3 linked regions of the Danio rerio genome follow. The protein of the gene in region 2 interacts with the protein of the main gene of each other region in a pairwise test. Links are inferred from orthologs where the notes say so. Each region holds a gene or a part of one and is shown on either strand. Other genes may lie near its edges.

Evidence for each region.
Region 1: the proteins of nudt3b (region 2) and asb13b interact in a two-hybrid assay, tested with the Homo sapiens proteins (2 studies listed by BioGRID and IntAct). The link is inferred for Danio rerio from reciprocal best matches to the Homo sapiens genes NUDT3 and ASB13.
Region 3: the proteins of nudt3b (region 2) and rplp1 interact in a two-hybrid assay, tested with the Homo sapiens proteins (2 studies listed by BioGRID and IntAct). The link is inferred for Danio rerio from reciprocal best matches to the Homo sapiens genes NUDT3 and RPLP1.

The regions. Positions count from the first base shown.
Region 1 is NC_133183.1:12,719,846-12,724,080, forward strand, and holds the start of asb13b (ankyrin repeat and SOCS box protein 13), read right to left. Parts: upstream 2,801-4,235; 5' UTR 2,658-2,800; coding exon 2,609-2,657; intron 659-2,608; coding exon 459-658; intron 1-458. UniProt on the Homo sapiens protein: May be a substrate-recognition component of a SCF-like ECS (Elongin-Cullin-SOCS-box protein) E3 ubiquitin-protein ligase complex which mediates the ubiquitination and subsequent proteasomal degradation of target proteins.
Region 2 is NC_133181.1:56,862,375-56,865,874, reverse strand, and holds the end of nudt3b (diphosphoinositol polyphosphate phosphohydrolase 1), read right to left. Parts: intron 3,101-3,500; coding exon 3,056-3,100; intron 2,971-3,055; coding exon 2,886-2,970; coding exon of another isoform or gene 2,862-2,885; intron 446-2,861; coding exon 246-445; 3' UTR 152-245; downstream 1-151. UniProt on the Homo sapiens protein: Cleaves a beta-phosphate from the diphosphate groups in PP-InsP5 (diphosphoinositol pentakisphosphate) and [PP]2-InsP4 (bisdiphosphoinositol tetrakisphosphate), suggesting that it may play a role in signal transduction.
Region 3 is NC_133194.1:2,214,000-2,218,013, forward strand, and holds the start of rplp1 (large ribosomal subunit protein P1), read right to left. Parts: upstream 2,801-4,014; 5' UTR 2,683-2,800; coding exon 2,611-2,682; intron 1,323-2,610; coding exon 1,248-1,322; intron 730-1,247; coding exon 618-729; intron 1-617. UniProt on the Homo sapiens protein: Plays an important role in the elongation step of protein synthesis.

The DNA.
Region 1 (4,235 bases), on a different chromosome or scaffold from region 2:
GAATCACTACAGCAGACACGATCGTCTGATCTCATATGAAGCAAGAGATCATGATGACATATAATGACGTGTACAGGTGCTGTAGGGCTCTCCCATTTCTTAGGGGTAAATTTTAAAGCCCTTCACCTTCACACTAGTTTTTAAGGGCTAAATGTGGGACAAAATGAATCTCTGTTAAAAAGTTTCAACCAGTGCATGCTCTATAGCATGCTTGGATGTTGGTGTATAAGCAACTTGTTTTTTTTTATGTTTACTGAATCGTGGTCTGACCAGTAGCTTATGATGTGGAGGGACATTTTCTGCTAGAGATACTGTTGCCCTAAAAAAACAAAATAAAATAGTTGTAAAAAACACCTAAAAAAGTACATATAGCATAGGAATTCTATGAGAAGATTTTTGCAGTTTTAAAACGGCTTGAAACCATTTATCATCGCATGCCTAACAGAGATGCTGCTTACATGAGCTCCAGCATCCAGAAGCAGCTTCACACACTGCGTATGGCCCTGAATACAGGCCTCATGGAGGGGAGTGATGGAGTCCACGGCCACAATGTTGACAGATGCTCCATTCTCGATCAGTTTCCGGAGCTGCACGACTCTGCCCTGAGCTGCGGCTTCATGCACTGCAGAACGATCTGTCCAGAAGCCCAAACCATGTGCTAGAGAAAGAATAGAGAGACGGGAACAACTTTAAAATGCAGCTTTACAAAAACATGGACGTAACTGATTTACAAATGAAGCATCAGCAATCAGATATGTCATTATGTAATTTATACACAAGAGTGAACTGCAAAAATATCAATTTGGCAGTTTATACACACACACACACACACACACACACAAACACACACACACACACACACACACACACACACACACACACACACACACACACACACACACACACACAGACACAGACACAGACACAGACACAGACACACAGACACACACAGACACACAAACATTGTATTGTAATATATGGTGTTCATTTTTGATACACATAAATAAATAAAAAATAATAATAAAAAGAATAAAAAAATAAATCATATTACAAATAATATGTACTTATCAATTCATGTGCACGTGGTGATACCAAAAATAACAAAATTACATGGTATATTAAAATTGTATGGTATTATTTAAAGCAAAGGCAAGTAAATACAAAAGTCTTATTGGTAATTAATTATTCAAATTTATCAACTAAATCTAGACGGACGGACGGACGGACGGACGGACGGACGGACGGACAGACAGACAGACAGACAGACAGATAGATAGATAGATAGATAACATGATCTTACTATATGGTTAGGGTTAGCATACAGCTAGGTTTAGGGTTAGTTGCATGTAATTATGTAACTGCATATTATTGGTAATTACTATACTATATTACTATAGTAAGTACAAGTACCCTGATAAATAAAGGGACTAATAAATGAAGGGACTAAGCTAGGGACTAAAAGAAAATAAACTAATGAATGTTTGAAAAAACAGCAATGTACTGAAATATGATCCAAAGAAATAAAGCAAAATAGCAAATCTAATTTTGTAAAGTCTAACACAACAACAACAACAACATGTGCAAGAGCTGTGTTCTGCAAAGTGAAATTGTAATGACTCCATTTGAAAACGATTGACGTAAAGTTCGTTTTATATTTGCACACTTGTTCAGTGAAAACTTGTGACTTGCTCCTTATATTGTTTACCATGGTACTTTAAATGTTGGGTCTGAAATCACATGCAAGTATGACTTCCAAACAACATTAGCACTATTTATTATACTGTGAACAATGAAGTACTTTGATTATTCATTGGCTGCTAAAATGATACCACTATTTAGAATTTGCAATAAAGGTTACACGGGGGCTCATTGGTTAGAACTCTTGCCTCACAGCAAGAAGGTCGCTGGTTTGAGTCCCGGCTAGACCAGTTGGTATTTCTTTGTGGAGTTTGCATGTTCTCCCCATGTTGGCGTGTGTTTCCTCCGGGTGCTCCGGTTTCCCCCACAGTACAAAGACAAGCGGTAAAGGTGAATTGGATGAATGAGCGTGTATAGATGTGTTCCAGTAGTGGGTTGCAGCTGAAAGGGAATCCGCTGTTAAAAACATGTGCTGGATAAGTTATCAGTTCATTCCGCTGTGGTGACCCCTGATGAATAAAGGGACTAAGGCGAAGGAAAATTAATGAACGAATTAATTTGCGAATTATTAACTTACGGGGAAAGTCTAAATGTGTGACTATTACCAACTTTACCTTAATTTGAGCACTCTGGGGAATTAAGATAAGGACATTTTCACTCATTATTTCAAGCGACTGTAAAGGACAGTGTAGTAGGCCGTGTACAGCACAGTAACTAAAACTCATCCGTGTGTTGACTCAGGTCACACTGATCCAGGGCTTTAGAAACCTGTTAATTGTCATTGGTGACTGATTCAAGGCCAAACGGCATGTGATCAAACTGCGCGTCTGCCAACAATATATGTCATCGAGCCCGATCTCGGCAGTTATATGAAAACGTGTCGTACAGTTACGGTGAACTCTGAGTTGCACAGTCAAATCTTTACTGAACTGTCATGTATAACAACAGACACACAGGCATGCTAACTTACCAATATCCCCAAAAAGCGAAGGCCTTGTGCGCGTTATTTCAAATTCCATCACTTATTCCGATTTATATGAGTATAAAGAAGAATTTGTGCTTCACATATGTATGCTCCATTAAATTATCGCCAGCCATAGTTTACAAACAGTCGACCTGACAGCAATTCAATGGCGAATAAAGCTATGGATTTTGAGCGAGTAAGCACAAGCAGCTGTGATTGGTCCGTTCTCACTTGCGTTGAGTAAAGTAACAGAAGTCACGTGATAACGCATGACTAGTTTGGCTATAATATAAAGAATCATTTATATTTATAAAAGGTCATGCGTTGAAGATATAATTATTACTTCAGTTAGAATTGATGAAAATAATGGTTTAATTACTTCTTCAAAAAGATTATTGGGATTCTTCGCATCTGACCAATCAGAGAAAACGTCCGGACCGCCCATTTTGACAAGTAGCAGCAGGTCTAGCTTTGCTTGAAAAGTACGTTATGACGATAAACCACCACTTTTTCCTATTTCAAGAAGATATAAGGATTAATAATGTCACACTGTAACAAAAAGGCAACTAAAATATTGAATTTATGTAAAATATTGAATTTATGTAATATATATATATATATATATATATATATATATATATATATATATATATATATATATATATATATATATATATATATATATATATAAGGTGCTCTATTGGATTGATATCTGGTGACTGTGAAGGCTATTTGAGTACAGTGAACTCATTGTCATGTTTAAGAAACCAGTCTGAGATGAGTCATGCTGTGGTATTAAGGGATAGACATGGTCAGCAACAATACTCAGGTAGGCTGGGGAGTTGACATAATGCTCAATTGGTACTAATGGGCCCAAAGTGTGCCAAAAAAAAAATTCCCCACACCATCACACCACCACCACCAGCCTGAACCGTTGATACAAGGCAGGATTGGTCGATGCTTTCATGTTGTTGTTGCCAAATTCTGACCCGACCATCTGAATGTTACAACAGAAATGGAGACTCATCAGACCAGGCAACATTTCTCCTATCTTCTATTGTCCAATTTTGTTTAGCCTTTGTGAATTGTAGCCTCAGTTTCCTGTTCTTAGCTGACAGAAATGGCACCCGGTGTGGTCTTCTGCTGCTGTAGCCCATCTGCCTCAAGGTTGGACGTGTTGTGTGTTCAGAGATGCTCTTCTACATACCTTGGTTGTAACGAGTGATTATTTGAGTTACTGTTGCCTTTTAATCAGCTGGAACCAGTCTGGCCATTCTCCTTTGACCTCTGGCATCAACAAGGCATTTGCACCAACAGAACTGCCACTCACTAGATATTTTCTCTTTTTCTAATCATTCTCTGTAAACCCTGGAGATGGTTGTGCATGAAAATCCCAGAATATCAGCAATTTCTGAAATACTCAGACCAGCCCGTCTGGCACCAACAACCATGCCACGTTCAAAGTTACGTAAATCACCTTTCTTCTCCATTCTGATGCTCAGTTTGAACTGCAGCAGATCATCTTGACCATGTCTACATGCCTAAATGCATTGAGTTGCTGCCATGTGATTGGCTGATTAGAAATGTGTGTTAACAAGCAGTTGGACAGGTGTATCTAATAAAGTGGCTGGTG
Region 2 (3,500 bases):
AAAGGAGAATTTAAACATGGAGGAAAAAAAAGCGCAGAAGTATCACATTTACAAAACGCATCGAATATTCCACCGACTCTTGATGTCTGGGCCACCTTCTTGGCGCTCAAAAGGCCTTGGCAAACCATTGTGTCTATTTCTTTTTGTTTGATTTTTTTTGTGAGAAAGAAAAATAATAAGAATGGAGCAATGAAAGTAAGAGCAAGAGTGGTGGAAGCATCCGGAGTGTCTGTGTTTTGCGTTAGTTATCTCATATCAGAGACGGAGCTCTGATTAATGCTGTAGGTGGGTGACAGGTCTCCTCCGCCTATCGTGGCCACCAGGGGCGTCCCGTTACTGTTCAGACAGCCTTCCTGTAGAGCCGTGAAGTAAGAGGCCTGTACTGGTTTGTGACACTGCAACACTTGTATGGCATCGTCAATTTTGAACCATTCCCTTTTTCTCCCTGTCAAAACATTAACACACACACACACACACACACACACACACACACACACACACACACACACACACACACACAAGTTGCTAAGACTTTTATTTCAGTACGTTGATGAACTTCCTACAGAAATGGAATATTAAATAGGGGGCGTGGCTTTCTTTTCTGCACATCATTCACTTGTAGCAAACTAACGGTAAGAGAACGGCGCAAATTACAGGGGGGGTTGACTGATCAGTTACTAAATATCCATGGAAAAACTGAAAATGTATACCTTTTATTTTTAAATTAGATGTAATTTAAATACATTCATAAATTAGATTCACTGAAGCATGTATTACCAAACTACTACTGAAAAAGTTGACCCCCCCCTCCCACACACACACACACACGATTATCAATGTATAATTCGCAAACTGGGTAAGAGGGGAGTGGTTAATTATACTGCTATGCAGTTGCTATGGAGGCCGGATATCAACAGAGAAGGACCGCCACTGCAAATGCAGAAGCAAATAATGCAACAATATCACACAGGAATTCTTAATTTTTTGATTTAGTGGCTAATTCAAATGAATTTGTACAATCTCATTCGTACAATTTAGTCTGATTTTCTTATCCCCCAATGACGGTTGGGTTAGTGGTGGGGTTTGGTGATATGCCTCCTTTTAAAATATTTGTACATTTTCATACGACTACTAATTAGTCATTAAACTAACAAAATGTAAAAAAAAAAAAATTTTTTTCGTGAGATCAGGCTGAAAACGTTTTTCAGTCATTTAACTTGCAAAGAATAATTGTTCACCTAAAGAATAGCAATGTGCGCTAGCAAAACAAACATTGTAAATTTTGATTTCACACATTATAAAGCCAATAAGTTGGCATTAGCAAATGCAGTAACATTGTGCACTCACCAGTCACTTTATTAGGTAGGTACTCCCACTCAATTGCTTGTTACAACAAATTTAGAATCAGCCAATCACATCGCAGCTACTCTATGCATTTAGGGTTAAAACAAAGCATTACAATATGAAAGATTTTAGGCGCAATGATATTACGTAGTGCCTGAAAATAGTCCCCAGCCAGGTAACAGCACTGCATAATAGCCTTGTGCCTGCTGCAGCTATGGTACAGCAGCAAAGTTCCTTGATTATTACGTCGGAATGAGAGTATAGTTCTTGCCATATTGACCTATATAATAGCCACCTTTCTTTTTTATCAGTCTTAGTACATGATGTAACTACAGAAGAGTCAAAGAAGAGTTAAACGGGCATCTAATTAGGATAATGGGTGACGCACATATTATTGTTACCCATTCTTAGTAGAAAAGGAGCCAAGCAACAATGCTCAAAAAGTTGCCCTGTGAATCATCAGCATGATGTTTACCCCTTAACTGACTGGTATTTGGTAAAACTAGTCTGTAAGATCAAGACTTAACATGGTGGCTAATGCAGAGTTCAGACTGCATGATTTTCAAAGTAATCGTGTCACAGATGTTTTCACACAGCATGACTATCTGGGCTGGCATTTTGTCGCTGCTTTGTTTACAAGTGTTTACATTTTGCAACTTTGTCCAAACTACGTTTCACAACCAAACACACGTAGTATTATTTTGTTATTAACTACATTACGAGAAACAAGCCTTCAATGGGGTAGAAAATGTACATTTTTACTTGACGGGAGTTAGCAATTCTTCTTCAAGTTTTTTTTTTTTTGACCCGGTTGTGATATTGCTCAGATCACAACGTTGTTGCCAAATTTACACTAGTATTTCCCTGATTTCTTGGGTCCAAATAAACTGAAAATGTTTTTAACTTCTCCCACAATCTCCCGCTGGCCTGCAGATACCCATACTAGTGGATGCTGCTCTCTCATTGGCTGTGGGTGATCGCTGATTTTATTTTCAGTCAAAACTCATTTCACACAGCATGATTTGAATCGCAGACAGCTCCTGATATTTAGCAAGGCAAATAGCTGACTGTATTTGATAGTTCACACTGTGTGATTGCTATTCGCATGAACAAGCACCGGTTTGCCTATGATATCATGCAGTTGTCGACGATTTCTCAAACCTGTCGGCGAGTCAAAATCGGGGCTAAAATCAAGCAGTCTGAACTCGGCACAAGTTTACAGAACAGACCCCAAATCTCAATCCAAAAGAGCACTTTTGGAATGTGCTGGAATGGGAAACTCACATCACGCATGTTCAGCCAACAAATTATGTCAAAATAAAGCAAAATCCCCTTGCTGAATCTAGGCCACAAAAATTAGGGTGGTTTTAAAAGAAAAATATGGTCCAACTTGGTGCTAGCAAGGAGTACCTAATAAAATGACCAGTGAGTGTACATTCAAACAGGAAACTGGTGTTTTGAATTCTAATATTTCATAATATTTATATTTTAAAAATGTAAATAAAAATTAATCTTACCAAATCCTAACCCGGAGGACTTACCAATGTTCACCGAATCCTCCCAATCTTCCAGAACTTCGGTTACGATGAGAACGTACACATACGTTCTGTGTTTCCTATCTCGATTCTGAGAATAAATCAATATTTAAATCCCTTTACAATTACATTTTACAAGCTTTAATACAAAAACCTTGCTTTCAAATCCTACTTACCTCAAATATTCCTACTAGTCTTCCTAAAGTGCCCTTGACTCCAGCCTATAAAACAATGAACAGATAAAACTGAAACAACAGGATTCATTATGTGGTCAGGGGTTTTCAGTGCAGAACCACTGACTGAGTTCATGTGGATTTGACAGCTGATATGTTTTCAGAGGTCAAGAAAAGACACGGCAGTGAAAACAAGCAGTGAGGGACCGTGTACACCTGACCTGAGTGATAGAGATCCATCAGGACACTCTTCAGGCCAAACGCCATGTAGACAACATGCCAATGGTCGATTATCATCAAGCAGGATCTAAATTTAGTCCAGATATGGTCCAGTTTGAGATCACTAACGAAAATGATTTAATTTGCATTCTTATAATTGTTTTAATATTTTTTGTTCACTGATTTTAAGTACATTTATTAATTAATCATTTGTATAATCATGTTAATT
Region 3 (4,014 bases), on a different chromosome or scaffold from region 2:
GGATATTTGGTGTGGGGAAAGCTGTAGGCAATGAGTAAATCATGCATTACAAATGTAATAGTATTAAAACTCACTGCAATCGATAGAGTATGTACTTAATAAAACATTGCTAATGGTTTTTAAATGGGGTTCTGAAGTATTTGACATTTACAGTACTGACCATCAAGCATCCCAATTGAATAATTCAGAAATCAACTGCTGAGTAATGGGTTGGGCTGTTTAACAAGATTTAAAATCTGAAGCGAAAATTGTTGTGAAAAGTGTTGCTGAGATGCACAGATGTACTGCTTTCATTGGAAAACCCAGTCAGATAGTTTAATGCAGCTAATTCAATATGAACTTGCTTAAGCTGTAGTAAAATCAGTAGCATATATGACAACATGCCTGAAAAACATCAGTCTTAGCTGCATGATTACTCGCATCATATTATAAAAAATATGAAGAGATGAAGACAACCCCTTCAGGCTATTTCTTTTAATAATTTGTATTTTAGGCTTTCCCAGAGAGAGCACTCTTCACTTTCAGAATCTGTTTTAGGGTTGTTTAGAAGAAGGTGCTACTCAATGTCAGCTTGCACATCATTAAATGTATAGTAACAGATGATGGGTGATGTTTACCTGGAGCGTCTCCACCTGCAGGAGCAGCAGCACCAGCAGCGGCAGCAGGAGCAGCTCCACCTCCTGCTCCAACATTACAGATCAGACTGCCGATGTCCACGCTGGCCAGAGCCTGAACACAAGACACATCCCATCAGACTCGAAACAATTAAGCTGCTGTACAGCGCGAGGGCTTAATTCAAGAGCAATTCTCTGCACAGCAGTTTTTAACAGTCACATGTATATAGAAACGTTTAGGATGATTCAATTCATAGTTTATATTTGTTTGCATGCCTATTTGGTTAACAATTTCATATTTTAACATGCATTAAACATGCATAAAATCTGAGTCTTGAATCATACCATCAAGATGCTCTACAGCAGGGGTGTCCAAACTCGGTGCTGGAGGGCCTGCAGAGTTTAGCCCCAACTTCCTTCAACACACCTGCCTGGATGTTTCTAGTATACCTAGAAAGAGCTTGATAAGCTTGTTCAGGTGTGTTTAATTGGGGTTGGAACTAAAATGTGCAGGACACCAGCCATCCAAGACTGAGTTCGAGCACCCCTGCACTACAGCATGAGGACTTAATGATGGAAGGCATTCACATTTATCTCTCCATCATCCTCCTGTCAGATGTGAAATAAACTTGCCTTAGCGAAGAGACCAGGCCAGAAGGGTTCGATGGTCACACCGGCAGCCTTGATCAGAGCGTTCAGCTTGTCCTCCTGAAAAACACATTCAGAGAGAGTTCATATCAGTGCATCAACTCATTTAATGCAAATACTGTGCAAGACAATAGCAGCGATCAGATCAAAGCAGCAAAATTATTTGTAAGGTTATGGTTTTTGAGATGCTACAATAATATTTGTAGGTCATTACGCCCCCGAACATGCTTTAAATTCACCTCTAATAGTCTCATTCACTTGTTGGTGAAAGTTTTGATTGTGATGTTTGTTATTAGAATATACACTGAGTTATTAAAACAACATCAGAAAAATAATTAATTGGCTAAGTGCAAATCATGCAGCGTATAATTAGACCATTTCAATGTGGTTATGTCATTGGCCCGTGAACATTTCCTGCTTATCAAACCATTTCATAACTGTAACAGGCAGGTCAATCATAACTTAATGTTAAAGCAGCTATCATAACTATCAATTTTGAGTTCTTGAAAGCTATACAAATTTAAAATGCAAAACTGAAAACATGTTGGAACCTTATTTTTTTGTTTACATACCTCAAAATGGTCTACATGTTTTATCTTGATAGACTACTTGGACATGGACTATAACTATTTTTTATGCATTGTAAAGAATTGAAGTACTTGATTATGGTCTTATTCAGCAAATAACAAGATATAAATCTCAACGAATAAGCTACATTGGTGCAGTTATTCAACTAAAAACTGTCAATAAAAAAAAAACCTGTAAACAATCTCCACAACTAAGATGAATGAACTACACACGTACTTTTCACAACATCATTAATTGAGTCTTGCTTTAAGGTGTAAAAAGAATAAACTTTTAAAAGACAGTCTAAAGCTTAAATATTTACACTTTTTTACATGACCATGATAACTAATGCATGCTTATTTAGGAAATACTGTATTAATGAATACCAGCACATGTCAACTGACCAACTTATCTAGTCTTTAGCCTACTAGCTAAAGTGCTAATGTGTCATTAGCATGATACAGGGATGCTAACTTACCAGGTGCTGATAGCTAGTACGTTCAGTTATGCGTGTTTACAGCCACAATGTGAACATTTATCTGAAGTATTTAAGCCGTACAGGATAACGACAGGAAGCGCGCGAAAATGTGCTATAACGTGCTTACTGCTATTCACACAAACACAGCGACTTAACTATCTAATAACACACCAAACATGTGATGTAATTGAACTAGCAAACGCAGAAATACTAAATTAGCACAAAAATCAGGGTAGCATGCGAGAACCGTAGCGGTTGAGTCCCGGATGTTCACGTTTCGCCGGTTAGGAGCTCAACACTCACCGTGACGGTAACTTCATCGTCGTGGAGGATCAGAGCGGAGTAAATACAGGCGAGTTCGGACACAGATGCCATCGTTCTTTCGGTAGGTTAAGTTTTTTGGTGCGGATGGGCAAATTTGACGGTGCTAGTCGCCGGATTGAAGGCCTTAGCTTCGGGAGAAGAACCGAGCACCTCAAATGCTGCGATCTCAGTAAACGGAAAGGGCCGGAAAAGGGTGGAGCGAAGACTTATATAGACTTGTGCGTCACTTCAGTGGGCGAGACAAGTGAAGAAAACAAAAGCTGTGATTGGTTCGTTTGTGATGTCAGTTATTCGCTGTGTATATGTGCTCACGACAGCGCTGACTAGTGAATGAATTAATGAATAAATGAGTATATAAATATATAAATTTAAAATCATATTTAAAATCGTTTACGTGACTGTACTCGGTATTTTATTAGACTTTTGCTTTACTTTGTAATATTAGTGAGGAGCCTTTTAATCTATGGTACTTGTACCGAAGTATAGAATACCAGTAATATTAAGTAGCTATCTATTTTATTATTTATTTATATATCAAATTCCATGATACTGTAAAATTCCCATACTTCGTTTAAGTTATTTACATGGTACTGTAACGAACCGAACTGTCTTAAACCTTTAGTATTATGCTACAGTACTTTTGTCTTATAGAAGTTTTGTAATTCTGAATGTAATTAATTGTGTAGACACATGCCTGGTGATTTTGTATGCACTAAGAGTTCACTTCATGCCCAATAAATAAATAAAACAAAAATGAATGACTATTAAAGCATATATATATATATATATATGTATATATATATATAAAACGACTGTAATAATAAATATAAAATAAATAATATCAGCGACTGTATAATAAATATAAAATAAATAATATCAGCGACTGTATAATAAATATAAAATAAATAATATCAATCACCGTAATAAAAATATAAAAGAAAATGTAAAAAATATCAGAAACTGTAATGAAGCCTTTTAAAATGAATTAAATCAGCGATTGTAATGTCATATAAAATGAACCAGAAACTGTAATAAAGCATATAAAATATAATAATCTAGACAGCCTGTGTAATAAAGTCTCTTTAATTGAGCAGTTTAATCACAGAAACACTTAATGGAATGAACCAAAAACAAACAAACAGACACATCATCGTCATCATCATCATCCTCTCTGAACACACAAACAACAGTCATGTTACTCAAATTAATCCAACAAAAAAGCCATAATCAGTCCGAACCTCTGCTCGTTTGGCACCCTTGAGATATGCTCTTAATTCAAAACACTATCTGAGACTGAATGGAAAAGCCCCATCCAAATACATTCTGTAAAAATGAAACCAATCTCTCCAGCTTCCGGAGCTGTGTGTGTGTGTCTCAGTCCAA